7 linked regions of the Kluyveromyces lactis genome follow. The protein of the gene in region 1 purifies or fractionates together with the protein of each later gene. This does not show direct contact. Links are inferred from orthologs where the notes say so. Each region holds a gene or a part of one and is shown in the gene's direction. Other genes may lie near its edges. The genes, in order: MCM4, POL2, TOF1, SPT16, MRC1, CSM3 and CTF4.

Region 1 (4,613 bases):
TTATTGAATGGAATTGGAATTCCCAATAGTAAGGAGAGGGTAGGCACCAGGTCAATCTGGTTCATTTGCTTATATGAAGTACCCAGATCTGTAGTATTATAACTGTCGTAATCCTTACTCCAGTTGGCATTCTTCGCGTATAGCCAAAGGACACTTTCCAACTCGTCTTGCGAATCACCACCGTGGTTTCCTGTGTGGTCCATACCGTGATCACCCATAACAACGTATAACGTGTTATCATCTGCAGTGCTTATAATTTTCCGCAATAGCTCATCAACTTGAAGCTGTTTTTCCTTCATGGTAAAATGATTAGGACCGTACTTATGTCCGACATGATCAACTCCTAACATATGTCCGATCAAGATATCGTATTCAGACCGTTTCTCTTCATTGAAATAATACTCCTCTAAGTAAGAAATAACCCCATTATCGACTGTGTCTAAATCCCAAACGTTCAAGGATTCATATGGTACACTTTCTGGAGCCAAATACGGATTAAATAGGGCATCCCAAGTGTCATCACCGGCAAAGAATATTTTCTTGTTATGCAGATAAAGCTGTTTTATTAAGTTATCCTCATCGATCACATCACCATTGAAATTCGATCCTGCATCTATAAATGTAGGCAAGGAACCTGTTGTCAATCCCTTTAATCTTTGTAGCGTAGTTGTGGGAGGATCAGCCAAAAACTTCAACAAGACAGAATCCGTTGAGTTATGGGCCGTCTCATAAAGAACTTTCAAATTGTTATGATAATTAGGGTTGTACTTGGCATGATTTTCATCTACTGGAATAACGAAATCAAACCTCAATGCGTCCACTATTAGTAAAACCATCTTATCGTATTTAGCTTCGAAGGGAAGCTGGGGATCAAGTTCTGCAACGTTATCCAACACCGTCCTTGTTAAAAGGAACCCTTTTGCGAAAAATGCTATGGAAATAAACTGCAATACAGCCAAAGAAGCAAGTAATAGTATGTACAGAGTGTGCGTAGACTTGAACCTTGATATCCGATAGCTCATTCGACTGGACCTCGTTTGAGGCCCCATTATGCTGAGTCTAATTCTCTCTGCCCGATCTCGTTCATCACTAACAGTGGGATTCATCACTTCTTACCAGTTTCCAAACGGGACAAAAACACAACTAAACGAAAGTACAATAAATTCACGTTGAATAATGATATTGTGCAGAAGAATTGAGTCACACTGGCGAAAGTGGTTCGCTTATCTCTCGCCTCTGACAGAGTTCTTGTTACCACTTTATTTCATTTTAAAGGTTAATTTCTTTTAAAACAGAACAATTGTACATCACGTGATCATTGTTCCCTCTTCAAATAATGCAACTCCAATTCTGATCGGCGAAGATACTGACCATTGAGCTGAGTGGATCCATGGTATTATCAACGGTGGCAAGGGCTCATTAGAACCTTGTTTATTTCAATTTGTTCTGTTTTCTTCTTTAGGAAATGTAACTATGTAACCAAAAATGTGTAAAATCTTAACGAGTTTCACTTAGTTCACTCAAAGCATCTCAAACAAGATAACATTATCAATTGAAAGGTGATATATCAGGGAACCTAGGATTATTTAGCTGCTTAGTAGGTTTGATAAAATTGCTGAATTAGCATTTGGATAATAGTGGCAGTATATATCCATAGAACACAGGAAGACAAACGGTTAACAATATTATGTCCTCACCTCCAGCTCAACAACCAAGTTCACCAAATTTGTTTTATGATCCTAGCTCTTCTCCAGCTCCTCATGGTACACAGGATTCCCAGGCATCTCAAGACCGAGGCGTAGGCTCTTCTCCGTTTCACTATCCTTCGTCTTCGTCAAATGCCACGCAAGAGACGGCTCGCGCCGCTCCTAGTAGCAGTGGTTTAAGATCTAACAATTTGAGATCTGATCTATTGAACTATTCATCCTCTCTATCCTCAAGTGCAAGAGAGGGAAGACACTCTAGATCTAGAAGAGGCGAAATTAATGCATCTGACTTATCATCTCCCAGAAGAATTGTCACTTTCAATAACCTTTCCTCATCGGATAATGGATTTTCATCATCATCGAGACCTGCATCTGAAGCTGCTGATCAACCTTTGAAGATCATCTGGGGTACCAATGTTTCGATCCAAGAGTGTGGTAACAGTTTCAGAGAATTTTTGATGTCTTTCAAGTTGAAATATAGAAAGGAGCTAGATGATCAGGAGATTTTCATCAACGAAACAACAGACCAAGAGCTGTATTATGTGAATCAATTGAATCAAATGAGACAACTCGGTACTTCAAACTTGAACCTTGATATCAGAAATTTACTGGCTTATAAACATACTGAAAAGTTGTTTCATCAGATTCTCTATTACCCTCAAGAAATTATAGCTATTATGGATCAAACTGTTAAAGATTGTATGGTATCCTTAGCACTTGATAATGGGTTAGAGAGTTACTTGAATGAAATTGAATCGAAGTTGTTCAAAGTGAGACCATATAATGTGGAAACCAAAAAGGGTATGAGAGAGCTTAATCCTAATGATATTGATAAATTGGTGAGTATCAAAGGTTTAGTTCTAAGATCCACACCTATTATCCCAGATATGAGTGTTGCATTTTTCAAATGTAACGTATGCAATCATACTGTAGAAGTTGAGATCGATCGTGGTATTATTCAAGAACCAGTGAGATGTCCCAGAGTGGTCTGTAATAGCCCAAACTCCATGGTTTTAGTTCACAATAGGTGCACTTTCCAAGACAGACAAGTGATAAAGTTACAAGAAACGCCTGATCTAGTCCCTGATGGACAAACTCCACACTCTGTTTCCCTATGTGTATATGATGAGCTGGTTGATTCGTGTCGTGCTGGTGATAGAATTGAGGTTTCAGGTATCTTTAGATCTATTCCAATCAGGTCGAATCCAAAGCAAAGAGCCCTCAAATCTCTATACAAGACATACATCGATGTGGTTCATATCCAAAAGGTGGCTAAAGATAGAGTCGGTGTGGACACTTCTACTGTTGAACAACAACTCTTGCAGAACCAGATTGATAATGTGGAAGAGATTAGAACTTTGAGTAGCGAAGACATTAGGAGGATCAAAGAAACTGCTCGCCGATCGGATGTCTATGATGTTTTGTCACGTTCCATCGCACCAAGTATTTACGAGTTAGATGACGTCAAGAAGGGAATCTTATTACAACTCTTTGGTGGTGCTAATAAAACTTTCAAGAAAGGTGGAAGATATAGAGGTGACATTAATATTCTACTATGTGGTGATCCTTCGACCTCTAAATCTCAAATTTTACAATATGTTCATAAGATTGCTCCTCGTGGTGTTTACACTTCGGGTAAGGGTTCCTCTGCTGTTGGTTTAACTGCTTATGTTACAAGAGATGTGGATACTAAGCAACTGGTGTTGGAAAGTGGTGCTTTAGTTCTCTCTGACGGTGGTGTGTGTTGTATTGATGAATTTGATAAGATGAACGATAATACTAGATCAGTATTACATGAAGTTATGGAACAACAAACAATCTCTATTGCAAAAGCAGGTATTATTACAACTTTAAATGCTAGAACTTCAATTCTGGCTAGTGCCAATCCTATCAACTCTAGGTACAATCCTAATCTTCCTGTGACTGAAAATATTGATTTGCCGCCTCCATTATTATCAAGATTTGATCTCGTTTATCTAGTGCTTGACAAGGTCAACGAAGCGTCTGATCGTGAACTCGCTAAGCATTTAACCAGTTTATACCTGGAAGACAGACCGGATTCTGTATCTCAAGGTGATATTCTACCAGTTGAATTCTTGACAGCCTACATCAACTATGCAAAACAAAACATTCACCCGGTAATAACTGAGTCAGCCAAGACTGAACTTGTGAGGGCATATGTCGGTATGAGAAAGATGGGTGATGACAGTAGATCAGATGAAAAAAGAATTACCGCAACAACAAGACAGTTAGAAAGTATGATTAGACTTTCAGAAGCTCATGCTAAGATGAGGTTAAGTGAAAGAGTTGAACTTGAAGATGTGGAAGAAGCAGTGAGACTGATAAAGTCTGCCATCAAAGATTACGCTACGGATCCTAAAACTGGTAAAATTGATATGAACCTTGTACAAACTGGTAAATCGGTTGTGCAAAGAAAATTGCTTGAAGACTTGGCGAGAGAAATTTTAAAGATATTGACAGAAAGGACAACAGACACAATAAGTTTCAACGAACTAAGCAAGCTTATAAACGAACAATCGCAAGATAAAGTGGAGAGTATCGAATTATCAAACGCTTTGACAAGATTGCAACAAGAAGACAAGGTAGTAATCTTAGGAGAAGGTCTAAGAAGATCAATTCGTTTGAATGGCCGTGTATGAATAGATATTATCAAGTCTAGTTTTTCTGAGAAAGCCTCTACATAGTTTGCAAAGGGCTAAATGAGAATAACGACCTTCCGCATGTTCTGCTTATATACATACGTTCTGTGTATATATCATCGTGAAAGTGTTTGACATTATAATAGCATATTTAGTTAGAGTAGCCTAAAGAAAGGTCCCCCGAGATCCATCTGTTGATCATTTCCATAGTAGCTAGTGGTTGATAATATGGAACCGTATGACCTGC
Region 2 (4,661 bases), about 1.3 Mb from region 1:
GAAAGGGTTCGCGATGGTACTCGATGGAAATGGCTGGTATTACATGTTTGACAGGTGCAAACATTATTCAAATGGCCAGATCCGTGGTTGAAAGAATTGGAAGACCGTTAGAATTAGACACCGATGGTATTTGGTGTATCCTTCCTAAGAGTTTTCCGGAAAATTTTGAAATCAAGCTGCGCAACGGCAAGAAACTATTTCTTTCGTATCCTTGTTCGATGCTTAACTATAAAGTTCATCAAAAATACACTAATCATCAATATCAAGACCTCGTCGACCCTATGAAGTTCAAATACCAAACAAAAAGTGATAATTCCATTTTCTTTGAAGTCGATGGACCATATAAAGCAATGATACTGCCAACTTCCAAAGAAGAAGGTAAAGGTATCAAGAAGAGATATGCTGTGTTCAACGAAGATGGTTCATTGGCTGAACTAAAAGGTTTCGAACTAAAAAGAAGAGGTGAACTACAATTAATCAAAAATTTCCAGAGTGATATTTTCAAGTTATTCCTGGAAGGAACAACCTTAGAGTCATGTTACGCTGCAGTAGCAACAGTTGCTAATAGATGGCTTGATGTATTAGATTCTAAGGGTGCAATGCTCGAAACTGAAGATCTTATTGAACTGATTTGTGAGAATAAAAGTATGTCAAAAACATTAAAGGAGTATCAGGGACAAAAGTCAACTTCCATTACCACCGCAAGAAGGCTCGGTGAATTTTTGGGGGAAGCAATGGTTAAAGACGCAGGCTTACAGTGTAAGTTTATTATCAGTTCCAAACCACATAATGCACCGGTGACAGAAAGGGCTATTCCTGTTGCTATATTTTCTTCCGATCTTCATGTTAAGCGCACATTTTTAAGGAGATGGTTATTGGACTCAAGTCTCAATGACTTTGATCCAAGGGCTATTATCGATTGGGACTATTATAGAGAAAGATTGGCTTCTGTTGTTCAAAAAATTATCACAATACCGGCAGCATTACAAAACATTAAAAACCCTGTACCCCGTGTTGAACATCCTGATTGGTTAAGAAAGAAAATTGCTGTTAGTGAAGATAAATTCAAACAGACTTCCTTGAATCGTTTCTTCAAATCTACCAAAGCTCCACCTGAAGTCAAAGATATAGAAGACTCTTTTGATGAACATTCCGCGAATAAATCACGTATCGCTAAGGTCACGTACAAGAGAAAGAGCAAAAGACGTAATGGGGATACAGCACTAGAAGAAGAGTCTTTGCTGCTACCCTCTGAAATGCCTCCGATGTTAGATGATTATGTGGGCTGGTTACAATATCAAAAAACCAAATGGAAGATCCAGCATATTGATCGAAAGAAAAGAGAAAAGCTATTTGGTAAAACTTCACGAGCATCTGATCGGTCTGCTTTGGGCAATTTGATAAGAAAGCACGTTGAATCATATGCAGATAAAAGCTGGGAAATTTTACAATGTAAACCGTCCATCGATTTAGGTGTCGTAGAAATTTATGCTTTAATCGATAGGAAAATCCAATTGCTGAAAGTAAACATTCCCAAAACTGTACTCATGAACTTCAAGACGGAGAATTTCCCCTCGGGAGGGATTGAAAACTGTATCGTCGAAAAGTCCAACGCGGAACTGCCTAACGTGAAAGGCATCAACAATGAAAGCAGTAGTCAATTGTTTAAACTGACAATGTCAGAAGATACCTATTTCAACGAAGTTAATAAAGCATCAAGCGTATTGAACAACGAGAATGTTTTGGGAATATACGAGAGCTCAATTTCTTCGAATGAAAGAGTCATAATGCGGCTAGGGACGTGTATTCAATTCAGCTCTGAAAAAATGGGTGCGCTAGGAAAAGGTTTACAGAACGGTTTTCATATGAAGAATTTACATCCTGTTGAAGCAGATAGATATCTCCAAAGGTTTGACCTTGATATTGCCTACCTTCTACATTTTGTAACAGATATCGGCTATGAATTCTATTTCTTGTATAAAGCATGGGAAGATGTGGTAGAAATATTTGTGCTGAAACCAAGCACTCATGCTCAAGAAGTTTCTAATAAAGCTATAGAATCTCTTTACAACGAGATATACGAGAAAAAGTTCGAAAAGCTCGATAAATACTATGACTTAATCAAGATAAACAAGAACGTTTCGTTTAACGTGAATGATTATACTGAACTAAAGCGTTTACTGAAGGACCTTTCAAAGATGCTGCAAAATATTAAGGAAGAAAAAGGATCTCACACAATGGTGATTCTACAATCTCCATATACCCATAGAGTTGCTAAATTGTTGCAGCCTTTGAATGCCTTCCCTGTTGTTGAAATAGCTACTGCTGAAACACATTTGCCAGCTTTGAACTGGCAGGGACAATTAATGAGGAAAGCGGTCAATCACATATTGTCTCTTGGTTCTTGGATCTCAAATTTGATTACTCTCTCAAAATACAGCAACATTCCAATATGTAACCTCAAAGTCGATAATCTCGGATACATTATCGATTTGATGTACGCTCGCCAGTTGAAAAAGAACAACATCGTTCTATGGTGGAATGATAAATCGCCGTTGCCTGACCACGGTGGCGTTGAAAGAGATTTTGACCCACGGAAAGCGGAGCTCATGACTGATTTGGTGTTCCCTATTATGAATAACCCTGATATCTATGATGACGTTATCTTCGAAATTAGTGTCTATAACTCTGTTGTGAACACTGTTTTGAGCAGCACCATGTTGAACGAGGCTGAAGGTACAGACCTTGCCCAAAATTCGACATCTAAGGAAGAATCCTTCGGTTTTGTTGAAGATTCTTTCTCTTCTTCGGCCTTGTCAGTGCTTCGCGCACTGTTGAAAGAGCTTTGGGATGATGCCTTAGGTGATAATATCACGGCTGACTCATTAGTACACGCATTTATAGGATGGGTGTATAACCCTGACGCGAAATTATTCGATTATGCTTTGAGATATCACATCCATACTCTCACTCAAAAGGCCGTGTTACAGTTGATCAATGAATTTAAGCTGGCAGGATCATCTCTCATCTTCGCAGACAGAAACAAACTGTTAATCAAAACTCAGAAGCGTTCCGTTGAGAATTCTTACGCCTATGGGCAGTATCTCATGAAAGCGATCAGATCTAAACCAATGTTTGCCTATCTAGACTTGAAAATTGATAGATATTGGGATGTCCTGATTTGGATGGATAAGTATAATTATGGTGGTAGAGCATGTCTACAGATTGAAGATAAAGAAGTTCAGAGTTTCCAGGCTTATTCTCATTGGCATATAAAGGATTTCTTACCTGCAATTTATCAGCAAGAGTTTGATGATTGGTTAGTAGTCATACTGGATAGTATGGTTAAGACAAAGGAAGCCTATCATGAGCGAAATGCATCCACACAAAGATTAACCCAATTACCAAAGAATACACTGGCTGATAGTGACGTAGATAGTCAAACTGACTCTCTAGGCGGTTTTACCCATAATTTTTCAAAAGCTCTCATCAAAAGAGCAGAGAAACTTTACAAGAACCAACAGGAATATATTCTTGATCCTAACTTCGGCAAGGATTATCTATCTCCCACAATTCCTGGGTCGCATCTAGTTGTGAAAAATCCGCTTCTTGAGTTGGTCAAATACTTATCACATATTTTATCACTTTCCAGTAATCATTTATTAGAAGGAAGGGCGCTAAGGAAAGAACTCCTAAAGACATTTGAAATACGCGAATTCGACAGATTAGCTGAATTCAAGGATCCAAGTACATCTTTTGTGATCCCTAGCTTCATATGTGAGCATTGTTCTTATATATCAGATATTGATATTTGCAGAGAAAGTATGGAACGAGTCTTCATATGCCAGAGCTGCAACAGATCCTTGAATAAAAATCTCATTGAAGAGCATGTGATCGAACGACTTCAAGCCCAAGTTGCATCGTTTATTACCCAAGATGTTAAGTGCAATAAATGTCATAAGATCAAAGAGGATGCAATGTCACCTTATTGTCCATGTTCAGGAAAATGGGAACTTGCCGTATCTAAGGAATCTTTCATGGCACAGTTACAAATTTTCAAGAACTTGGCGGAAAGCTTTGACTTTAGAACATTGAAAGAAACTTTGAATGATTTCTTATAGGTTCAAGTCCCTGGCATCTGTTGTATTATCTTTTAGTCTGCTGATGTGTTTACATTTAACATTTATGAGTGTTTATGTGTTAAAATAGATCTGAAAATAAAAAATATATATACACATAAAGGAAATTGTTCTGAACTTAGCATGGTTGAATTCTTCCCACCTGAATGAAGACGCACTATGTGTTATTTACTGCGAATCAAGTGACCCAGAATGGTACGACCTGATGTTAGATATAGAGAAGAACAACTAGATTTTTTGGAAGCGTTTGTCGATGCCGATCCAAAACTGAGCCCGCCAATCTTGTTCATAGAAGGGCCGCATGGAAGTGGTAAGACACATACCCTCAAGAAGTTTTTTGCTTGCAATGAAGAAATCATGAACATTTTACTACCAGCGAAAGATCTGATATATAGCAAATCCACCTGTCAGCGGTTGGCTACATGTCTGCGTCAATTGCTACTGAAACAATTTCCTAGTGTGGAAACCACTGATCTTGATCCATTTGAAGCCGAGGACGTATATCTTTTGCAGAAATTTATC
Region 3 (4,600 bases), about 1.3 Mb from region 1:
TAGGTCCGGGTAGCTGTGTTGTTTTAAGCTAGACAATAACTAACTACCTGTGATTGTCCCGTTCAAGTGTAGGTCGCCTCTCCCTTCAGGAAAACCCCACAATCACATTATCAAAAAAACTTCAATGTTGCTAAGCATCTGATCCTATTGTCCCCTCGTAGTCGAGCGGAAAACTTCGGTTATGAATGGAATGTGTTCCACACACTTCGATCCTGTTTATCCATAGATGCTTTCACACCTTCTATGATAAAGCTCAATCGATGCTGTGGTTGACTTGTAGGAAACCCGTTGTCAATCGATACCGCAAACTTTAAAAATTTTTCAGTTTACCATATTTGGTAATACATAGTAATGTTTTACCACACATAGTATAACCATATCGCAGTCATCATAGTGGTCTGAAGGAACAAAGCAAACACCAATCACACAATTCTTCCTCAGATAGCATTATAATCCTGAAATTTTCCTTGTAACAAAACCATCTAGCATTGGTCCTGTTTTGAACGTTCCATTTTTTTTCTTTCTTCACATTCTTAATCGACTGTTCTTTGTCATACTCTTGTCTACTTGCTGCCGTAAATCATTTTAAATAACTTGTGCGCAGTGCAACATAAATCTTACGTTTATCAAAGGCAGCAAAGGCATGGCATAGGTTCTATTCTACTTCCGTAGTTAATAATTGAGAGCATATTTCAAATATATTTTTTGCCTCAGAAATTGGAACAATGTATCTCCCCGCAATGATCCTATACCACGACACAAGATCACATACCCGGTATGTATAATCCCCCAGCACTCAGTAGACATATTCACCTCCCTCATTCATGTTCTCTACATTTGAAAGTTAAAACCTCAAAATCAAATTTCAGATCGATGAGTTAAAAAAATGGAAAAACCACAGATTAATGCTTATTGATCTTCATTGACAAATGAGACATCGCAAACCGGACCAACCATCTTTAACACACTATTGCAGTGTTTTTGTCTTTTTTGAGGAATTTCAAAAGCTTTTCCACTTATGTCTGCTCTTCATTAACGGAGAATGTCGTCACATAAGCCGAGTGCAATCAGAACCCTTATTTTTTGCTTTTTGTACGCTTTATTTACGACCGTTCCTAATACGGTCATGAAGATCGAAAAAAAAATATGCAAGATTATTTCTAGATTGACACAAAGGAGAACAAAGTAGCCATAGGAGCAGGTATAATACAATTTGATCAAATATTTTAATATATGGCTTGTGTTTGGTATCAATCTACTTGAAATTATATGGTGACTGCTACTATTCCTTTAGTTTGGTATGAAAGCTCAGCTTGAAAGCAAGAACAGTGAGTTACTTTCCCGCATGATATTTGGACTTTCGTCTCTGTTTCGTCGTTGGGAGAACAGTAATCTAACTAAAATGTTACGGAACTAATATTTAAAATTGAAACTTATCAATTGCTGATAGTGAGGCAATAAAACAGTGCTTGTACCGTGTATTGATAGGGGGGGCGAAGAATTACAATTTTCAAAATCACGTGATCTGGTTTTGTCTTACTTTTCATAGGAATCAATTCCAATCGAATGAGATTTTGATCATAAAACAGCTTTCAACAGTTTTACGCGTTTGAACAAAAGGATGAATATTCGAAGGGCTACCTTAATCAAGAGGGCAAATTCTTTCCAATTTGACCAATTTGACAACGAACATAACTAGTATTAGTTGAGAAAACTATTAGAAAACTTCTTTGGGTTCGTAGCTTTGACAGAAGGTAACTATGTCAGAACCCGATGACGTTGATACTGTGAAGGAGAGACTGGCAGAAGATAGGCAAAACATACATATTCAGAATGAATACCAGGATATTTCATACACAATCATTAAGGCAAGAATTGGTATGTTAGCCACGGCAATTGGAGGACCAGATCACTCTGTGGACTCCGTTAATCCACCTTATAAGGTAGGTGATGATTGCTTGGCTTGTATTAAGGATTTGATTCGTTGGTTCAAGTTAGTTGATGATAACCAGAAGAGATGGGATGTAGAAATGGCCACAGCTGAATTCAAGATCCTGCAGAATGATCTAATACCTATTCTATTGGATTGGGAGGCAAAAAATAGTGCTGCTACTAGGAAAAGTAAAAAAACAGGTGAAGATATCTCGATTTTCTTCCCGAATAAATCATATCATGATAGAATCGCTCTAGGAGCGTTGCAACTTATGGTGTTGATGACATGGCCCTTAATCATAACAGATCAGTCATCGTATAACCAAGTGAATTATTACTTTGAGCTGAAAAAGCATCAATTGCTGTATAAGCATGCAATTTTGACAACAGAAAACGGAAAGGTTCTCAAGGCAGCAATTAGATTAGCCCTGAACGTCATGAGTGTGGATGTAGATCATAGGACTGCTAGGGATGACTCTCTGATACGAATGGTTCTTAATTTTCTAAAAAATGTGGTGGCAATAGAACCAGGTGAAGTTACAATATCCAGTGTCAAAAGATTGAAGAGACCTTTGACTATGGCTGAAATGTTACCAACGAATATTACCGTTGATGATATTTCCATAAATAGTGTCATAACCGCATTTGATAAAAATAAAGTTTTTGGCTTTCTTCTAACAGTGGCTAGTTCTTTGTCAGACGCTGTTGACCCAAATTTCGTTAGTTGGCCGTTGTTAGAGGTCATGTTCTTCTTAACAAAAGATATTAACCCCATCCGATTGTTCAAAAACCAGAGAAAATCTTATAAATTGGGTACGGATCACGAGATTACAGACTCCAACATGACAACGTCAGGTAAACACCTTTCAGAATTACTTGCAAAGGAACATGAAAAGAAGCTTAATGTAATAAAGAATACTTCTTCTCGTCATTCTAGATTTGGCGGTTTATTGTCTATACAGACACCTCAAAATACGCGATTGACAATTGCTAGTAATTCTGTCAACATGCGTGATGATGCGGCATTACAAGAGTTAGACTCAAGAAAAAAATGGAATAAAACCATCACTATGAGACTCGATGTTATTGAAGGACTCAGTAGCAGCTTTTTTAGTACTGAAGGTAATTCTATTTACATGTCTTCTGACAACATTACTAGCATAAAAGAGTTTTTGGCAGATTTTGTTGATTCCAGTTTCAATTTGTTATTGCAAAATGCCACAGATAGTTTTACGAGTGAAATTCAAGATCAATTACCATTGCATAAGATTGAATACATGTTATTCATTTCGTGGTTTGTGAAATTCCAGAGATCACGGTGCATTTATGAAATTGATGCTACACCGGATTATGTCTCAGGCGCATTGTTAGATGAGTGTTACATTCTCTTTACAAAATATTTGAGAGAGAGTTATGAACAAAAGAATTGGCCAGTGGTCCATGCGGGTATGCTATTGTTCACGGAATACTTGGAGTTTTTATTATCTCTCGACCAATCATGGGAGGCAGATGTTCAAGCTGTGATAAGTAAGATTTTGAGCGAAAATATGTTGCAGCTATTGGCATCTCTCCCAAAATCTGCAACCAGTCATTCTTCACAATATGTTAAAGCTTGCATTAATTTAACACATGTGGTTTTGAAAACAATTGATAAATTTGATGAGAACAGCTCGTTGACTGTGGAGTCAAAAAGGAAGCGTAAGGTGAACCTTAATCACACAGCAATTGAAAAGTATGCAAAAGATAATGATTTAGACTATGAATCAGCCTTTGATATATTAGAAGAACAATTTAAACAAGTGACCATAAACTTTGATAAGGTTTTTCGCGGATATCTGACAGAACCAACGATATCAACTTACATCAGATATCTACAGTCTTACAAAGAACTGGAGGACAAAGACCTCATAAGGGTTCTAAAATTCTTTCAGAGAGTGTTTGTCAAAGCGAAGGAAGAATTATTTCTATTTCGAATTGACTTCATGATATTATGTCGAGAAATTCTAAGTCAACAAGGTCTGCCTACAACTTCTGAGCTAAGAACTCATTTCACAAAATTCAATGAGTACTACCTTAAGCAGCTCAAAAATAAACTGAAGAAAATGCCTTCTTTGTACATCAATATATTGTTCCCAATGCTCCATGACTCCCAAATATCATACTATATGAGACATGGAAAGATGAAGTTGACTGAAGGTACTCCTGACATAGTATTGCCCAGCACATTTATCAATATTCCAGATGAAGGCTCTCTTCCTAAAAAAGTTTTGTTAGATATGCAAGTTGGAATCTTGGTTTCTAGTCTTATCGATGATGGATATGAAGATTTGATTGAAGCTTTGTTGCTTAATTTACAGTCAAGTTTCGATGGATTGAAGGGTAAGGTAGCAGAAGGCATCAATTCACTAGAAGAGGAAAGAGTAAAAAAAGTTGCATTCAATGCTACTAATTCTGAGATAAAGAGGGCCTTATACCAACAGCCCGAATTCAGAAGGCTTTTAATCCTTGCTGGTTTTGCAATTCCGGAAGCTAATCAACCTGCTTGCTATTTCATTAATAATAAAACTCCTACTGAGGTCCAGTTGGTAATTGAAACTATACAAAAGCACAGGTCTCTTCCATTTGAATCTGAAATTGGAAAACCAGCTAGTTATTATTTATCGTCACA
Region 4 (4,573 bases), on another chromosome or scaffold:
TATTTATAAAACTGCTAGTAGCTTTCTCTAGGGAAGTATTCATTATTTAGAGGAGTTAATTATTGGGTTTCCATGTGGAAATGCAGAATGATTCTATGCTATAATTTATTTATTCGTGATGAGATGCAATGCATATAACAAATTCCGTCGAAATTTCTTACTTCATATCTATTCTTTAGAAAGGTATTCTTTAGAAGTGTCTCGTAGTTTTGTCTTCTTGTCTTTCATGTAATTTATTACATTGTTAAATGTTATGGTCGTAATGCTTTTAATAAGTTCCTCGTATTCCTCGTTGATCTTGGTAACTGCTTCCGACTTTTCCTGCAATTCTATCTGGAATTGTTCATAAGTGAAAGGTTGCAACGATCGTTGGTATAAATTCGGATGGCGTTCACAAAGGTCGGCAAATAGATGAAGAGACTGCAAAAGAAGACTTGCTAATGTGAGGTGTAGAGAGTAATCCCCAAGACTTCTCTTATTAGATACCGACAGGTTGTACATTTCCGGATAAATAGTTATCACTTCGTTAATAATATCGATAGCATACGCTGAAAGGATATTGAGTCTTATGGCTAATCCATCCAAAGTTTCATCCCTAAGTGCTTCCTTTATCTTCTCTACTCCCTCAGTTAAATCACCTGCAAGAATTTGGTATGCAGAGAGTACAATAGGAAGTATTTGCACTTCTAACTCTTTAGCCCATCTGTTTATATTTCTTCTTGTAGCCAAAAGATCATCGGATGCCTTGGAAAACAATTCGTCATCATGCTCAAGACGTCTTCTTTCTGAGTCTATTCGCATGAAGGCGAATATAAATTCGCTGCTGATTTGCTCCGCAAAAGTAATTTCTCGCGACATAAAATGTGCAAATCCTAAATAAAACTTTCCAAGATCTATTACATCGTTCTTCCCATCATACATCACCAAAAAAGGATACTTCTTCCTCAATAATTCTGTTAGTTTCTCGCTATCCAGATGGTTAGCAGAACTTAAGTTGTTCCCACTCATTATTTTGGTACAAATAAACCAGTGAACCACCCCGATGTGATTATAGGCTTTGATGTTGATATACACCCAATAATGAAAAGTAAACGTGCACTTTCCACTGTTAACTTCTATTATAGTCATCCTCGGTTCAAAATACATTGGAAGCATCTTAGTATGGAATTGATCTCCAGTCACGTGAAGAGAATCAAATCCGTTTACAGTGATATATTCTCCCTTTAACCTGAATTTTTCAAAATTTAGTAAAAAAAAAACGCGACGCCAATAATGCATATATTATAGTTTTAAATTGAAGAGTAACATTAATAATTTTTGCAAACTATACCCATTGTTTAAGAGCTGGCAGGAAATTAAAGCAAAGGGACTCTTTGGTACTTTTATTGAAATAACCTGCAAAGCATTTCGTGGCTCGGTATTTCAAACTCATTGTTCTATTAGGCGTGGCAGTTGTCTTTTTTGGTTAGATATTGAGGACCCCATTGTGCTAATCTCAAGTAACAATGAGTGACGGAGGAATTGAAATTGATTTCCAAGCCTTTTATGATAGGTTTACAAAATTAGGGAAGGCATATTCTGGATTTGAAGGTTCTCCAAATAGTCTTCTCTTTGTACTTGGTTCGACTAATGAGGAAAACCCTTATCAAAAGACCACCATTTTGCATAATTGGTTGCTAGGGTATGAGTTTCCAGCTACATTGATTGCCTTTTTCAAGGATAAAGGTGTCATCATAACCAGCAGTGCTAAGGCGAAACATCTTTTGCCCGCTGTTACTAAGTTTGAAGGATCAGATTACAAACTTGAGATCTGGCAAAGAAATAACAAGGATGCAAATCACAATAAGAAATTGTTTGAGGACCTCATCAAGCTGTTATCAGAAAACGGTAATACTGTCGGTGTCCCAACGAAGGATTCATATCAAGGTAAGCTCATTCTTGAATGGAAACCGCTTTGGGAAGAAGCTAAAAAGACGCATTCTTTAAACGTAATCGATTGCTCTGCTGGTTTGTCTTCTACTTGGAAGGGCAAAGATGATAAGGAAAAGGCTTACCTTTCTGTATCCAGTAAGGGATCTGACAAATTCATGGATCTTATGTCAAATGAAATCGTCAATGCTGTTGACGAAGAACTAAAAATATCAAATTCTAAGTTGTCAGATAAAATTGAAAACAAGATAGATGATTCCAAGTTTTTGAAGAAACTTTCAAGTGATCTAAATCCTTTGTGTCCTACCGACGAGAAATTCGACGTTAATTTCCTTGATTGGGCCTATTCTCCAATTGTGCAATCAGGTTCTAAGTTCGACCTTAAGGTTTCTGCTCGTTCTAACAACGACTCACTTTTCGGAAAGGGTTCCATCCTAGCCTCATGCGGTATCAGATACAAGAATTACTGTTCCAATATCACCAGAACTTTTTTGATTGACCCGACAGATGAAATGACTGACAATTATGACTTTTTATTGATTTTGCAAGAGAAGATCATCGATGATTTATTAAAAGTAGAAGCTGATCCAACATCTATTTATGAAAAGACACTGGAATTCATCAAAGAAAAGAAACCGGAATTATTATCTCACTTTACTAAAAATGTTGGTTCTTTGATGGGGTTGGAATTTAGAGACTCTGCTGGTATGATCAATGCTAAACCAACCGCTCATAAAATTTCAGAGAATTGCTGTTACAATATTTCACTCGGATTTGGGAATTTAAAGGATAGTAAAACTGGTCAGGTATATGCTGTTCAATTAGCAGATACCGTTCAACTTTCTTCTGATGGAAAGCCATCCACTTTGACCAAGTACACAAAGGCTAGATCCCAAATCTCGTTTTACTTCAACAACGAAGAAGAGAACAAAGCTGCAACTGTTAAATCTGAAAAAAGCAAGCCTCCTGCTTTACCAAAACCTGATGGTACATCGAAGATTTTGAGATCTAAGCTACGTGGAGAAAGTCGTGCTGACGATGAAGAGAAAGAACAAATCCGCAAAGAGAACCAAAGAAAACTTCATGAAAGATTACAGAAGGAAGGTTTACTCAGATACAGTGATGCAGATGCAGTAGATGGCGATGAGAAGCCAAAGCATTTCTTCAAAAAGTACGAATCTTACGTTAGGGAAACTCAAATACCATCCAATGTACGTGATTTGAAGATTCATGTCGACTGGAAGAGTCAGACAATCATTCTACCAATCTATGGTAGACCTGTACCTTTTCATATCAATTCATACAAAAACGGTTCTAAAAATGAAGAAGGTGAATACACTTATCTCAGATTGAATTTCCATTCTCCTGGTGCTGGAGGTGTCGGTAAGAAAACTGAGGAGTTGCCGTATGAAGAGAACCCAGAGAATCAATTTGTTCGTTCTCTAACTTTAAGATCTAAGGATGGTGCTCGCATGAGCGATGTTTTCAAACAAATTACTGATCTTAAGAAGGAATCTACCAAACGTGAACAGGAAAGAAAAGCTTTGGCTGATGTTGTTGTCCAGGCTAAATTGGTGGAGAACAAAACTGGTAGGACTAAACGTTTGGACCAAATCTTTGTCAGGCCTAGTCCCGATACCAAGCGTGTGCCAGGTACGGTGTTCATTCATGAAAATGGTATCAGATACCAGTCTCCATTGAGGACAGATTCAAGAATTGATATCCTATTCTCAAACATCAAGAATCTATTCTTCCAATCATCAAAGGGAGAACTTATTGTGATCATTCATGTTCATCTAAAGAATCCTATTTTAATGGGTAAAAAGAAGATCCAAGATATTCAATTTTACAGAGAAGCATCTGATATGGCTGTCGATGAGACAGGAAACAGCAGACGCAACAACATGAAATTTAGAAGATATGGTGATGAAGATGAATTAGAACAAGAACAAGAAGAAAGAAGAAAACGTGCTGCCCTTGATAAAGAATTTAGATATTTTGCTGAAGCTATAGCAGAGGCATCCGATGGTCTCCTAGATGTAGATTCTCCATTTAGAGATCTTGGTTTCCAAGGTGTTCCTTCTAGATCAGCCGTGTTCTGTATGCCAACGAGAGACTGCTTAATTCAATTAGTTGAACCGCCATTTTTAGTCATAAATTTGAACGAAGTTGAGATTTGTATACTTGAAAGAGTTCAATTTGGATTGAAGAACTTTGACATGGTCTTTGTTTATAAAGATTTGACAAAGCCTGTTTCTCATATAAACACTGTACCAATTGAGCAACTTGAATTCATTAAGACATGGTTAACAGATGTTGATATTCCATATACTGTTTCTACAATTAACTTGAACTGGTCGACAATCATGAAGTCGCTACAAGATGATCCTCATCAATTCTTTTTGGATGGTGGGTGGTCGTTCTTGGCAACTGGATCCGATGATGAAAGATCTGATGAGAGCGAGGAAGAAATTTCAGAATACGAGGCATCTGATGAGGATCCATCTGATGAGGAAGTGTACTCTGAAGAAGAAGAGGATTATTCGGATGACGAAAAATTCAGTGATGAAGGGTCAGATGATTTCGCCGATGGATCAGAAGATGACGAAGGTGATGACTGGGATGACTTAGAAAAGAAAGCAGC
Region 5 (4,554 bases), about 1.5 Mb from region 1:
CTACTGCACGAGATTGCAGTGATAATGAAATTGGCAAAGGAAAAAAAATAAAAATGGAAAAAATAGTTTCGAATGAATTATAAGTGATGCGATGAGATGAGATGAGATGAGATGACATGGCCTCACTGCACCACATTGTCTTCAGTATCCGCTTATAAAACCCTAGTTTAGCTTGAAGCGTACTAAAGGCCAACAGACAATTTTGCGAACTCACAAGTATCGGAAAAAGAGGTAGATATTGATTTAGTCGTGAGTTGAAAGATGGTCTCTACTCATAATAAAGACAAGCCTTGGGATACGGACGAGGTTGACAAATGGAATATCGAGGAGTTTAAACCCGAGGACAACAAGTCTGGCCTTCCTTTTGCTGAAGAATCCAGTTTTATGACTCTATTTCCAAAGTACAGAGAAGCGTACTTGAAATCAGTTTGGAAAGACGTTACGAGGTCTCTCGATGCACATCATATTGCATGCGAATTGAATTTAGTTGAAGGTTCTATGACTGTAAAGACTACAAGAAAAACGTATGATCCAGCAGTAATCTTGAAGGCTCGTGATTTGATTAAACTTTTGGCCAGATCTGTGCCATTCCCACAAGCAGTGAAAATCCTAGAAGACGATGTTGCCTGTGATGTTATAAAGATTGGTAACTTTGTTTCTAATAAAGAAAGGTTCGTGAAAAGAAGGCAGAGACTAGTGGGTCCTAATGGTAACACTTTGAAAGCCTTGGAGCTTCTAACAAAATGTTATATTCTTGTCCAAGGTAATACTGTCTCAGTAATGGGACCATATAAAGGATTAAAGGAAGTACGCCGTGTCGTCGAAGATTGTATGAAAAACGTACATCCTATTTACCATATCAAAGAACTCATGATAAAGAGAGAACTTGCTAAGAAGCCTGAGTTAGCCGAGGAAGACTGGTCTAGATTTTTACCTATGTTCAAGAAGAGAAATGTTGCAAGAAAGAAACCAAAGAAGATCAAGGAGAAGAAAATATACACACCATTCCCACCTGCACAATTACCTAGAAAGGTTGATTTGGAGATTGAGTCCGGTGAGTATTTCTTGAGCAAGAGGGAGAAGGAAGTCAAAAAGTTACATGAGCGCAGGGAACAACAAGCCGCTAAACACGCTGAAAAGGAAAGCGAGAGAGCCAAGGATTTTATTGCACCAAAAGAAACCGACTACAAAAGCTCAATTTCAAAATCTACAAAGAGCTCTTTAGGAGACAGGAAAAGACAGCGTACCGATTAAAGCGCTAGTAAGTATTTTATTATATAATCGCGTTTCCATCCTTTTCTCATGACTCAAATTAAGAAATATAGTTTTAAGTTAAGTTTCAACCAGTTGCTTTGTTCAAAAATCGTCCCAGTAGACACTTTACGATTATATTTATGGACCACGTATACGCTTTTCACTAACTATCATTCATGCCAGCAACGTTCTTGCTTTTCCTTATGTCAAAACCTGCGGTGTGACAAAAATATAGTACGTACGATCAAGAAGGTTTTTTGAAAAGAAAAATGAGAAAACGCGTAAATATTTAAGGCTCGCAGCCCAATCTTATAAGCACGATAATGTTACCAGGTAAGGCATTATTATAACCGTTTTATTAAAGGAATTCAACACCTTGCAAACACTTCGGCACATTATCAAGTGCAGAATGGACCTACTAGATGATTTGAACGTTGGCATTCATAAAAAGAAAGGCAAAACATATTCTAAAGCGAACGATGCAGAAGATGAAGAGCTGAACGTGGGAGAGCACAAGTTTCTAGCAGAGAATCTGCTTGAAAGAGTCAAAAAGAGACTAAATGGAGATTCAGATGATAGCACTGCTTCGGCAATTGATAACAGTAAAAAAAGCACATTCTTCTACAGTGATACCGATTTGTATGAAGGTAAAGAGTTGGACGATGAGTTTGAGGCAATGCGTGAAACTGCTGCAGTACCAAAGCAGCGTGAAGTGGAAATCCAACAGAAAAAACATCCAATATCTCAGACACAATTAATTCCTACATTCTCTTCATCTTGGCTGGCAAAGACTCAAGTAAATACTCAGGCACTGGAGGGCACCAACAGAACCATTGATAGACAACAGCAAGATTTAGACACACAATTGAACAATGAGGAAATTACACAGACTACACCAGATGAACACACTCTTGATAAAGCTGCAACCGAAAGTAAATTGCTGCACAGTAAAGAAACTTCCTTTCGAAATACTTCGTTTACATTTAAGTTGACAACAAACAACAATGAAGGACTACTGGCAACTAAACCAAATGGAACTCAAATAGAGAATGAGCAAAAAGTGGTCGCTACTCAACTTGATGTTGCTGAAAAGGAGAAAGCCGTGCCTCTTATAAAAGATACTATAGAAGAACCACATTTACCTGTAGCACCATTAAAGGCTGTCCGAAAGAAATACCTCCCTGAACAGTTCATTGCAGCTTTTGATGATTCGGAGTCATCCAACGCAGAAGATCTTTCAGATGAGGAAAATGATGCTGATGAATTGAAAGATATGGCATCTACTCAAGAGTTAGTCACGAAACAGAAGAGTGTTGTTACTAATATGAATGGGATTATTGCCATTACTATGAAAAATAGTCCACAAAATGTTATTGAACTGAACTCTTCGTCCGAATCTGAAGATGACTATAAATCACAATCGTCCAAGGCAGCATTATTGCTGATTAAAGCTAAGAGATCCAGGAATAAGGCTACTAAAGCAAAGAACATGCATGTTTCTACAGTTGACTCTTTGAAGGAATTGTTTACATCTTTGAAAACAAAGAACAGAGACCAGATACTTGAATTTAGAAGAGAAATATCCGGTAAAAAAGGAATATCACTTGAAGCGATTGAAGATGAAAAGATTCAAGTTGAAAAGCTTCTAGAGCAAGAGCTTGAAAGGAATAGGAGAGTTAAACTAAGAGAAAAAAGAGAAAGAGAGAAATCAAAAGATACGAGTAAAGCTGCATCTTCTGGTAGCGCATCCGATGTCCCTGATAGCGATGTGATGGAGAGTGATTTAAGCTTATCAGATAGTGATGTCGAGCAGCATTTAGGGCTACACGGGTCCACTGGTTCAGACGAAGATAGCGCGGATACATCGGCAGCCCATAAAAACAACAATCCTATAATAGATGATGACGAGAGTTCTTCGTCAAGTGATGATAATGAAGTCACCCAGGAGCCGATTGGCATCAATTTAGGGCATTATGGCGATAATTTAACTTCCTCAAATGTAACGGAAAATGATGGTGCTGATCAAAGTGACAGAAATGTGCCTTCAAATTCAGAACTGAAGATGAACAGATCACATTCAGCGAAATTATTGGTGGGAGAGTTAAGTTCCGATTCCTCAGTAGACTCTGATTCCTCAGAGGACGAGCTCGACGAAGTAGAAAGGAATAGGCTTCAAGAAAGGGCTAAAATGCGCCGAAGAATGGAAATAGAGGCAGCAAAAAAGCGGAAGCAAGTACTTAAATCAACTGGTCTCAACAAAATATTGGAAATGGAAGCAGAAGAATCTGAGGATGAATGGCATGGTGTTGGTGGTGCTGACGGAGAGAATTCAGATGACTATGACTCAGATTTGGATACCATGATAGATGATTTTTCCAAAAGCAAGTTTGATACCGCTTCAATAAGAGAAAGGTTAGCCTTAGAGAACAAAGAAATGGACGAAAGGATGATAAATAAAATCTTACATGATATCAATACCGGAGGCTTTCGTAAACGTGGCCGAGGAGCACTAGATCTTGAGTTAAGCGATGATGAGGATGAGTTACTACGACAGTTTAGGGAAAAAAGAAGAGAAATAATGAAACAAAAGCTACTAGAAAATGTGGACGGTGTAGTCAATAACTCAAAATCAAAAGCCTTTTTCGATAGTATGGTGGAAGATATAACTAGAAAGTCAATCCCTGCTGTCACATCATTCAGCAATACTCGAGATGAGATGGGAAAGAAGAAAATTGTCATATCAGAAGAGTTTGTTCAGAGTTCATTATCGTTTTTAAGTGCAAAAGATGATGATATCAATGAATTTGAGGTCACTGAAGCAGCACATGATGCAACTGAGGATTTGGAATCTTTGAAACAGCGAAGCAATATTAAATCTCTCGATTCCCCTCAAAGGAATAGAAACTCCGCCTTCTTTGATGATGTGGATGGTACATCTCTGGACTTCAAATTGCCCAGCATCGTAAAGTCTTTTTCGTCAAACTCAGATGTTAATGACAAGTTCAAAACGGGGATCAAAACTGTTACTATATCTAAATCTTATAGAGTAGCCTCTGGTTCTCGATCTGCCATCACTTTCTTGGGTAAAAAGAGAAAATTGAAGGCACCCCAAGGCCGAAAATCCACACCGTTGGTACGCAAACCAACATCTAGCTTGTTTGACTCCAATTCCGATAGTTTCACCTGACCCATCCAACTAATATGTCAATTTCATTATAAAATCTCTTAAAATTACATTTGTATAATCATTATATCAGAAGTTAAATTCAGTGTTCAATGCCTCTTGAAGTTCATTATATG
Region 6 (3,152 bases), on another chromosome or scaffold:
GAAAGAAATGAAAATAAAATGAGAGATAAAGCCAGGCAGTAAAGGCATTAAAAGATGCATCTCTCTGGTATGCAAATCTTCGGTAGACACAATAAAGTAGATGTGAAACCCCCTTATTGGCTTTAATACCATAGCGTCATAGGCTCTCTAGGCCATTCATTACCTCATTCATAAGTAGATAATTCTTCAAATTCCTGGGCTTTAACGACCCTGTCGTTAAATCCACGATCAAATCTTCCTCTTCATCAGAATCACAATAGTCTTGCTCTAGGTCTGGAGTCGATCTGGGAACTGAATTTAAACTTTTGAAGCATTGTACTATCACCTGGGAAACCTGCTGCGTATCTTTGGCTTTTCCAAAATTGTCTGTGAACATTGTTGAATATTGTCAAACGGGGACGCTAATGGGTATATTGTAGTAGGCGCTTGTTAAGCCTATTCGGAGGTCGGTATCCTGTGTTACTCCTTATTATGAGACGTCTTTCTTACACTTTTTAACTTATCAATACAAGATACAGACAACCTCGAATCTATTACATAGGCCTTGTCAACAACTGAAAGGTTATTCCTTATATATATATAACCTCCATAAAATATACTACAACAAGATAACAATAACACACTAACAAATTGTGGTTAAATCTCTGAAACAAAATGGACCACTTCTGTGGGCAAAGGAATCAAAAGGCAGCCCGTTAATGTGCGTTATCATTTGACACTTTCACAATAACCTCTCAGCAGGAACTTCAAACACCGATCTTTTCATCAGCCTAAGTGAAAGTACCGCAATAAAAAGTGTGGCTTTCCACTCATTCCTCAACAGAGCATGTGACATGCGCCTAATGAATGCCCCCAAGAAAACTTAAAAAAGAGGGATTATCACGTGATTGACAGCATTTGTCTTCTTATCAACGCAGCCAAAACATAGTGTTTGGCTTGCTATCTTGCTTATCAGAAGGACAGCCTTGACTTAAAATTTCACGGTGCTTCTTTTTGCTTGCCCGTTTTGTTGTCTCTTGGCATTCCCCCTGAATGCCTTCTCTTGACTTTTCGACGCGTCACTGTGTCTGTCGCAATAAATGTCTGCGTTGAGATTCTTGACGCTGATAATGTCACCAGACGAACCAAAAGAAAATGTAAATATTGTTCACGTGACTTTATTTCTTTTCCTTTCCGTGAAATATACTACGCCAAACTTAACTGAAGTCGAAGAGCATTATCGATTTAAGATAACATAAATAGTGTCTCTCGCTCTCAGTTGTCGAAGTCCTCATATTTGGCACGGAATAGTATTTTTTATATCTACAAGTGTGTGTGCTCTTTGCTTTTTTGAGACAGTACCGTAAACGATGTCTATAGATGATGATATGAACGATCTCTCGGCATTTCAAGGCAACGCGACTGAAGATGGGAACATGAGGCTTGATTTTGAATTGGATCCTACTGTGAATGGCCTGGATCCTTCTATGACAAGTACAACTGATGGTCAAGATCCCACGCTCATATCTACCAACACCCGGAAACCAAGGGTAAAGCTTACTGCCGAGAAGTTATTGTCCACTAAGGGTCTGCCGTATGTCATGGAACATGCTCCGAAAAGTTGTAGAATCAGCAAGCACAAGACAGCTTACGATAACTTAACAAACTTCTTACAATTCTATCAGCTATGGGCTCATAATTTGTATCCGAAGGCAAAGTTCAAAGATTTCACCTCATTATGTGAATCATTGGGGAAAACTGACAAAGAGCTAAGAGAGTATAGAATGAATTTAGTTAGGAAAGACATGGGTATCCTCCTCGGAGATGACATTCCCAACGTACCTGATATGCAAATGCACGACACAGGCGTACTACCTGCTCATCAGGGACGAAATAGCTTATTTGTAACGGATGAATCTACCTCAGCGACTGACCGCGGAAATGCACAGTATGGTTATGAAGCCACCAAAATTATCAGCCTAGACAAAGACAAAAATCAGAATAATGACGGCAACTATGACGATGATGATGATGATGATGATGATGATGATGTTCTATATTCTTCGCATCACCAGCGGCACACGAATGAAATGTTGTCCACCACTGATACAAACATACGGCAACATACACAAAATGGCTACGCTCTGCCTAACGCTGAAGAGTTAGACGAATTGAGTAAAATTACGACCGTTGCCAGCACAACAAATAACGGTAATGATATCGCATCAGATGAGGAAATGGCAATGATGAGAGACATGGATACCTTTTGAGCTCTGATCCAAAGATAATAATGTATTCCCTTGAACACTAATTAGAAAGTATCTACTTGTAATATTGATAGGTAATGATGTCCATAGTATACAGTGTTTTACAAATATCCCGTCATGAGGGTTCTATCAGGTAGTCCACAAACGAGCGGTTTTGTCGGCACCTGCAGAGAATAGCCAAGCTTCACGTGGATGCCATATAGTATCTAGAACACCTAAACTATTCACAATCTTGTGGCCGGTTAGTTTCTTCAACGGGACGATCATAGGGTTCTTCATTAAATCGTCATAGACCGTGGCATGGAAAACATGGATGTTACCATCATCCGCAGCTGAGCAAAACAGTGGTAGTTTCTTGTGGAAACTTACGCTTCTTACAGCCTTCTCATGGTATCTCAAGGTCTTATATGGAGTGCTTGCAAGGTCAAGATCATGCCACAACACTCTCTTGTCAAACGAGGATGCAATTAAGTTATCACCTCTTGGGTGAATATCAATAGTAGATAACCAACGAGCACCAGGTAGAAGTTTCTTGATTAGCACTTGTTGCGATAGGTCATAAATTCTGACGTATCTTTGAGAACAGACCAAGAGCTGTGGCTTGAATGGATGGAATTTTGCATCCATAATGATACCCTTAGATTTTTTGAATGGCGATTGAGTTAAATGCTTGGATAATTGATGAATCAAAACTGATGTATTACCTGAGTCTGGTTGAACAGTGACAAAGTAATCACCTTTTCTATGCCATGAAAGCTTTTTCACTGATTTACGACAAGTTATTACGATACAAATATCATTGGCAGCTTGCCTTTCGGTTGGTTTATTCCATTGAGCAACCTGTTTCTTGACAGCATGTGATTCAGCACCGTCATCCTCATCATCGCTATTCACATTGAGATTACT
Region 7 (4,672 bases), on another chromosome or scaffold:
CTATATTGTCAGTTCGTTCTTATAGATTTAATGTTAGTTGTGATGTTTGTTGATGCTTTTGTTGTGAAGAACTGAAAAATTCAAGATCGTTCATTATGATGAGATGAGGCTCAAAGTCAGAGATGTTATACACATTTACGTAAGGATACTCATAGCGTAGACTCGCTTCCACCTAGGGGGTGGAATCTCACTTTATTTGAATTGGGTTCGCATTTATCATATATTTAAGTTTTTATGGTTTGAGTTTGCTGGTTCTGCTTCTCGAGAACGGGTTTAATTAAAGGCTTTGCGGTCTCGAGAATACTTTTAAAGTCGTTTCTCATTCGAGTAATTAGGGTGGAATCATTGTCTTCCAAATGTCTAAATCTGTAGTCACAACGTATTAGTATAGTAGAGAGCTGCTTTGCCACTGTGAAGGAAAGCTCGTCGTCGATATTCAGCTGCACCATAGACTGTAAGGATGATACAAGTTGCTGGCATATCTTTAGCGATTCTGATAGCTTTGTGATATCGTCCAGTTTACCAAATAGGTTATCAAGCGATTTTAGGTAGGATAATGCTGTTACTGTTTTTTCTCTAGTTTCAGCCACTGAGGAATCACAAAGTTGGAGTAATTGCTTGTTGAACTGTTGTAGATCATTCAAGACTTGTTTTAACTTATTCAACACCTCGTTATTGTCACTAGTATTAAACCTGTCACATATTTCCATGTACTCGGGATAATTGTCATTGATTTCATCCAGTATAGTTTGTTCCATTGATTGCTTCAAGGCAGATACTTCATATGAGAGTTCGTCTAACGATACGTATTGGAAGTTATTCTCAAGTAATAGCTTATCTATATCTAAGCAGCCATTCTTCCGTACAAAATTGGAAACTAACTCTCTGCTTAGTTCTTTAGTTACTGGTAGATCCAAATCATCATTTAGGTCGGTCATCGCTGGGTGAGAGTAGTTTCACACAGTACTTTCCCTCTCTTTTCGCTCTTGTTCCGTTTTTCTGGTAATGATCGTTCGAATATAAGGATCGATTCGTACCTTTAAATATCTTGAACGCTGAATAGAATTGATAGTTAGAAAAATACATGTATATAACAAGGGCAAAGACCGATACATGTGTTTGAATGGGTAGTTTTCGGAACACACTTACTAAACTGATGGTGCAATACAGATGAATAAGGGTGATATGATTACTGCGCATCACGTGACTAATTTTCCTTAAGATAAGTAAATCTATAATCAAGAATGTTTAGATACTTTTGGTCCAATACCTCATCCTTACCTTGTGGCAATTGCATGCACTGCACTGTCACTACTATAACAGTGTCAACTAATACTTGATGGTGCTAGTTCTGTGTTTCATTTCTGTCTTCTTAGCTAACGTGTATTTTTAACAGAAAAAACGCGTCTTGGTGATTTAACAAGTAGAAGATGAGACACAACTTGCTTGAAATCTATAAGATGCACTGAAAAAAGCTCAGTTCTCAGTATATTAGTGAATAGTTTCCTTCAGACATACCCAGAAACATCCAATGGCAATTAAACTAACTGAAAATAGGGTATTTGTTGCTGGTGGGAACACCCAGGCACGGTTGAGTAGTGACAGTTCTCGACTTTTCACTTTAAATAAGAACGCATTGGTGAAAGTTCTTAATTTAACTGATCTTGAGAAGGAACCTGATATCATTGATATTTGTGAAGAACCAAGCGCATTTGTTTTGAGTCAAAATTCAGCTGATGGTTTATATGTTGTTTCCCGCAATGGCGACCTATACTGGTACAATGTACTGGAAAACAAGAACAAGTTATGCTTTAGATCCTCGTTACCATTGCGTGATTTGGCCTTAGTTCATGATGATAAAGTATGTGTTGTAGGTGGGGATGATTTAGAAATGACATTGGTTGCATTAGAAGAGGGAAATTCAAACGTTAAATTAACTTTGGACGAACAACTGGTTAGTTTATCATACAACAAACAAAATAACATTCTAGCAGTATCACTCAGTAACGGTAACGTTGTATTCTACTCTTTAAGTTCTACTACACCCAATAGAATCCACACATTGCATGATCAGCTACCTAAGATATTCTTCAATGATGATCTACCAGCGGACACTGAGAATAATACTGAAAACGCCGATTCAGTCGCTATAGATGGACTTGATCCTATGCTATGCGAAGATAACAGAACATGCACTAGAGTTGCATGGACCAATAAAGGAGACCAATATGCAATTCCAGCAAAAGATAGTGTCATTAAGTTATTTAAATTATCAGATCATGATTTGGTGACCTCGTTCAAGCCAAGTGTGCACGTTAACAACTGGGACGCACTTACAATAGACCAAATTCATTCAAACACAATCGCTGCAGTCGGTAATTCCAACCAAAATTCTCATCTATTTATTTGGAATTTAAGTACTGGTACACAGCTTGTTCACGAAAGCTTTAGGTATAGTATCACTTCTTTGTCTTGGAGAGTAAACGATCAGAGAACCAAACTTAGCTTGGTAGCAGGTACTTGGTCGGGCGATGTTATCACGTTCAATGACATTGTTTCAGTAAATACTACAGTTGCTTATTCAAATACCGGTGGTAAGCTTTTTGTTGGCTCTGATGATGAAAAGTTATTTGACGATAGTGACATAGATGATTTATCTAAACAAACAAGCAACGGTCCTGAGTTCTACGAGCCTTCCAAGAATGATAATAACAGAAGATCGAAATATGAAAACAACGACAAAGCTGATGACAAAGGTGAGGTTAGTGAAGATATAAACTCTGACAACCTTTTCACAGATGCAGAAATGGATCAACATGAACCTAAGCGTACATACAATTTCGAGAATGAAGATGATTTTATTGAGGATGATAATGGCGAGGCCGCACAATATAAGAGACCAAAAACTCATGTTCAATCAATTCCTTCTTTGACAGCTAATCATGTAAATCATCGCAGAATTTACCAACCACCAGCTCAATTCCAATACCGACCATTTTCAACAGGCGCGACACCTTTCGGGAATAGCGATAAAAGATACCTTACTATAAACCAACTAGGTCATGTATGGACAACAAGAAATGAAGGCGGTAGCAATTCTATAACGGTCTCTTTTTTCGATGTTAGTCGATTCCGTGAGTATCATTTCGACGATTTATTCAAATATGACCTTTGTTCACTGACCGATGAAGGTATACTATTGGGCCAGTCGAAGATGGGTCAAATTCAATACAAGCCACATAGTCCCTCTGGAGATTCATGGACTAAAAAGATTCCCTTACTTTCCAAAGAAAGAGTTACTTCAATTGCCTGTACTCCTAAACGTGTAATTGTAGGAACATCTCTCGGATATCTTCGTACTTATAACGATTTTGGGTTACCACTGGCAATAGAAAAAATGTCACCTATTGTTGCTTTGTCTGCTCATGAGTACAAAGTGTTCACCATTCATTACTCACAATATCATGGTATTACTTACTCGATGTTCCAACAACATCCGCAAACTGGCAATAAATACTTCCAAAGAGAATCTCCCTTACCAATAACGTTGCCTCAACAGAATCAGCCGGGAAATGATGATGAAGACATTGAATTTTTAAAATACGATGATATTTTCAATTCATTCAACCCCCTAGGTATCAAATCCTTATTCTTCTCAAGCTTTGGTGATCCGTGTATGTTTGGTCATGATAATGTTTTGTTAATTCTGTCCAAATGGAGAAGTGGTAGTGACGCGAGATGGGTACCCATAGTTGATACCAATTTAGAACTTTGGAAGATGTCAGGGGGTAAGCATCCGAAGAACGTCCACGTTTGGCCATTAGGATTAAACTTCGATACATTTTCGTATTTATTATTGAAGGGGAAGAACGCATGGCCAGATATCCCAATGACCGTTCCTACAGAAATGGAAGTCAGAATCCCAGTTGTATCAAAATCCGAGCTTCAAAAGACACAAGACGATAATCGTAACGACAGCAGCGATGTGGAAGATATTGATAACAGTAATGGTGTCGAAATTCCAATGTACCTAGCAGCAGAAGAGGAATTTCTACGCTCCAAGATACTAAGTGATTTACTAAAAGACACGATGGATAATGAAGGTGAGATATACGGAAATGAAACAGATCTATTACAGCATCTGGTAGCAACACATGATAAGTCCTTACTACGACTTTTAGCTTATGTCTGTTCCGAGCAAGATGTTAACAAGGCCGTTTCAATCGTCAACGAACTGAAGCAAGATAAGGCCCTATCTGCTGCAAGAAAAATTGCAGAAAGAGCTGAACTACTTCCACTAGTAAGAAAAATCAACACGATTATTGAGGCCAAATTTGAGGCCGATTTCAATAATATATGATAATCCCCTGTTCTTCTTATCTGGACTAGAATAAGTATTGTCAGTTTAAATAATAATTGATTTTCCGATCCGTGCATTGACGTTCATTTTCTGCCGTAATGTAAATTAAACTAAGTAATTCTAGCAATACCAATGAAATCAGGCATATAGGTCGTTGAATCGAGTAAAGTCTTCCAAACTATTATTTAATTCTGTTGCAAGTTCATGCATTCTTCAATTTTTGTCACTTTTCAAGTGGTGTCGTTTCTTTTACAAATTGGCGATACTGAAAAAAAAATTGTACATCTGAACCAACATCATTGAAACAGGCGA

Evidence for each region.
Region 2: the proteins of MCM4 (region 1) and POL2 purify together in Saccharomyces cerevisiae (affinity purification with western blotting; 3 studies listed by BioGRID, with this or other methods). This does not show direct contact. The link is inferred for Kluyveromyces lactis from reciprocal best matches to the Saccharomyces cerevisiae genes MCM4 and POL2.
Region 3: the proteins of MCM4 (region 1) and TOF1 purify together in Saccharomyces cerevisiae (affinity purification with mass spectrometry, with the first as the bait; 3 studies listed by BioGRID). This does not show direct contact. The link is inferred for Kluyveromyces lactis from reciprocal best matches to the Saccharomyces cerevisiae genes MCM4 and TOF1.
Region 4: the proteins of MCM4 (region 1) and SPT16 purify together in Saccharomyces cerevisiae (affinity purification with mass spectrometry; 4 studies listed by BioGRID, with this or other methods). This does not show direct contact. The link is inferred for Kluyveromyces lactis from reciprocal best matches to the Saccharomyces cerevisiae genes MCM4 and SPT16.
Region 5: the proteins of MCM4 (region 1) and MRC1 purify together in Saccharomyces cerevisiae (affinity purification with western blotting; 7 studies listed by BioGRID, with this or other methods). This does not show direct contact. The link is inferred for Kluyveromyces lactis from reciprocal best matches to the Saccharomyces cerevisiae genes MCM4 and MRC1.
Region 6: the proteins of MCM4 (region 1) and CSM3 purify together in Saccharomyces cerevisiae (affinity purification with western blotting; 8 studies listed by BioGRID, with this or other methods). This does not show direct contact. The link is inferred for Kluyveromyces lactis from reciprocal best matches to the Saccharomyces cerevisiae genes MCM4 and CSM3.
Region 7: the proteins of MCM4 (region 1) and CTF4 purify together in Saccharomyces cerevisiae (affinity purification with western blotting; 15 studies listed by BioGRID, with this or other methods). This does not show direct contact. The link is inferred for Kluyveromyces lactis from reciprocal best matches to the Saccharomyces cerevisiae genes MCM4 and CTF4.

The regions. Positions count from the first base shown.
Region 1 is NC_006039.1:1,537,460-1,542,072, reverse strand, and holds MCM4 (MCM DNA helicase complex subunit MCM4), read left to right. Parts: upstream 1-1,687; coding exon 1,688-4,366; downstream 4,367-4,613. Other genes in the region: mannose-ethanolamine phosphotransferase GPI13, read right to left, coding at 1-1,106; KLLA0_C17490g (S10 family peptidase), read right to left, coding at 4,518-4,613. UniProt on the Saccharomyces cerevisiae protein: Acts as a component of the MCM2-7 complex (MCM complex) which is the putative replicative helicase essential for 'once per cell cycle' DNA replication initiation and elongation in eukaryotic cells.
Region 2 is NC_006039.1:231,711-236,371, forward strand, and holds the end of POL2 (DNA polymerase epsilon catalytic subunit), read left to right. Parts: coding exon 1-4,121; downstream 4,122-4,661. Other genes in the region: ORC5 (origin recognition complex subunit 5), read left to right, coding at 4,332-4,661. UniProt on the Saccharomyces cerevisiae protein: Catalytic component of the DNA polymerase epsilon complex which participates in chromosomal DNA replication.
Region 3 is NC_006039.1:187,323-191,922, forward strand, and holds the start of TOF1 (Tof1p), read left to right. Parts: upstream 1-1,760; coding exon 1,761-4,600. UniProt on the Saccharomyces cerevisiae protein: Forms a fork protection complex (FPC) with CSM3 and which is required for chromosome segregation during meiosis and DNA damage repair. FPC coordinates leading and lagging strand synthesis and moves with the replication fork.
Region 4 is NC_006042.1:906,473-911,045, forward strand, and holds the start of SPT16 (chromatin-remodeling protein SPT16), read left to right. Parts: upstream 1-1,505; coding exon 1,506-4,573. Other genes in the region: KLLA0_F09867g (uncharacterized protein), read right to left, coding at 169-1,278. UniProt on the Saccharomyces cerevisiae protein: Component of the FACT complex, a general chromatin factor that acts to reorganize nucleosomes. The FACT complex is involved in multiple processes that require DNA as a template such as mRNA elongation, DNA replication and DNA repair.
Region 5 is NC_006039.1:35,284-39,837, reverse strand, and holds MRC1 (chromatin-modulating protein MRC1), read left to right. Parts: upstream 1-1,663; coding exon 1,664-4,441; downstream 4,442-4,554. Other genes in the region: ribosome biosynthesis protein KRR1, read left to right, coding at 262-1,254; VAC17 (Vac17p), read right to left, coding at 4,508-4,554. UniProt on the Saccharomyces cerevisiae protein: Required for normal DNA replication. Phosphorylated in response to DNA replication stress. Phosphorylation allows it to mediate the activation of RAD53.
Region 6 is NC_006042.1:2,463,475-2,466,626, reverse strand, and holds CSM3 (Csm3p), read left to right. Parts: upstream 1-1,349; coding exon 1,350-2,249; downstream 2,250-3,152. Other genes in the region: KLLA0_F26686g (uncharacterized protein), read right to left, coding at 137-376; ribosome biogenesis protein ERB1, read right to left, coding at 2,376-3,152. UniProt on the Saccharomyces cerevisiae protein: Forms a fork protection complex (FPC) with TOF1 which is required for chromosome segregation during meiosis and DNA damage repair. FPC coordinates leading and lagging strand synthesis and moves with the replication fork.
Region 7 is NC_006038.1:972,518-977,189, reverse strand, and holds CTF4 (chromatin-binding protein CTF4), read left to right. Parts: upstream 1-1,531; coding exon 1,532-4,360; downstream 4,361-4,672. Other genes in the region: Golgi transport complex subunit COG2, read right to left, coding at 225-938. UniProt on the Saccharomyces cerevisiae protein: Accessory factor for DNA replication. It plays a role in accurately duplicating the genome in vivo.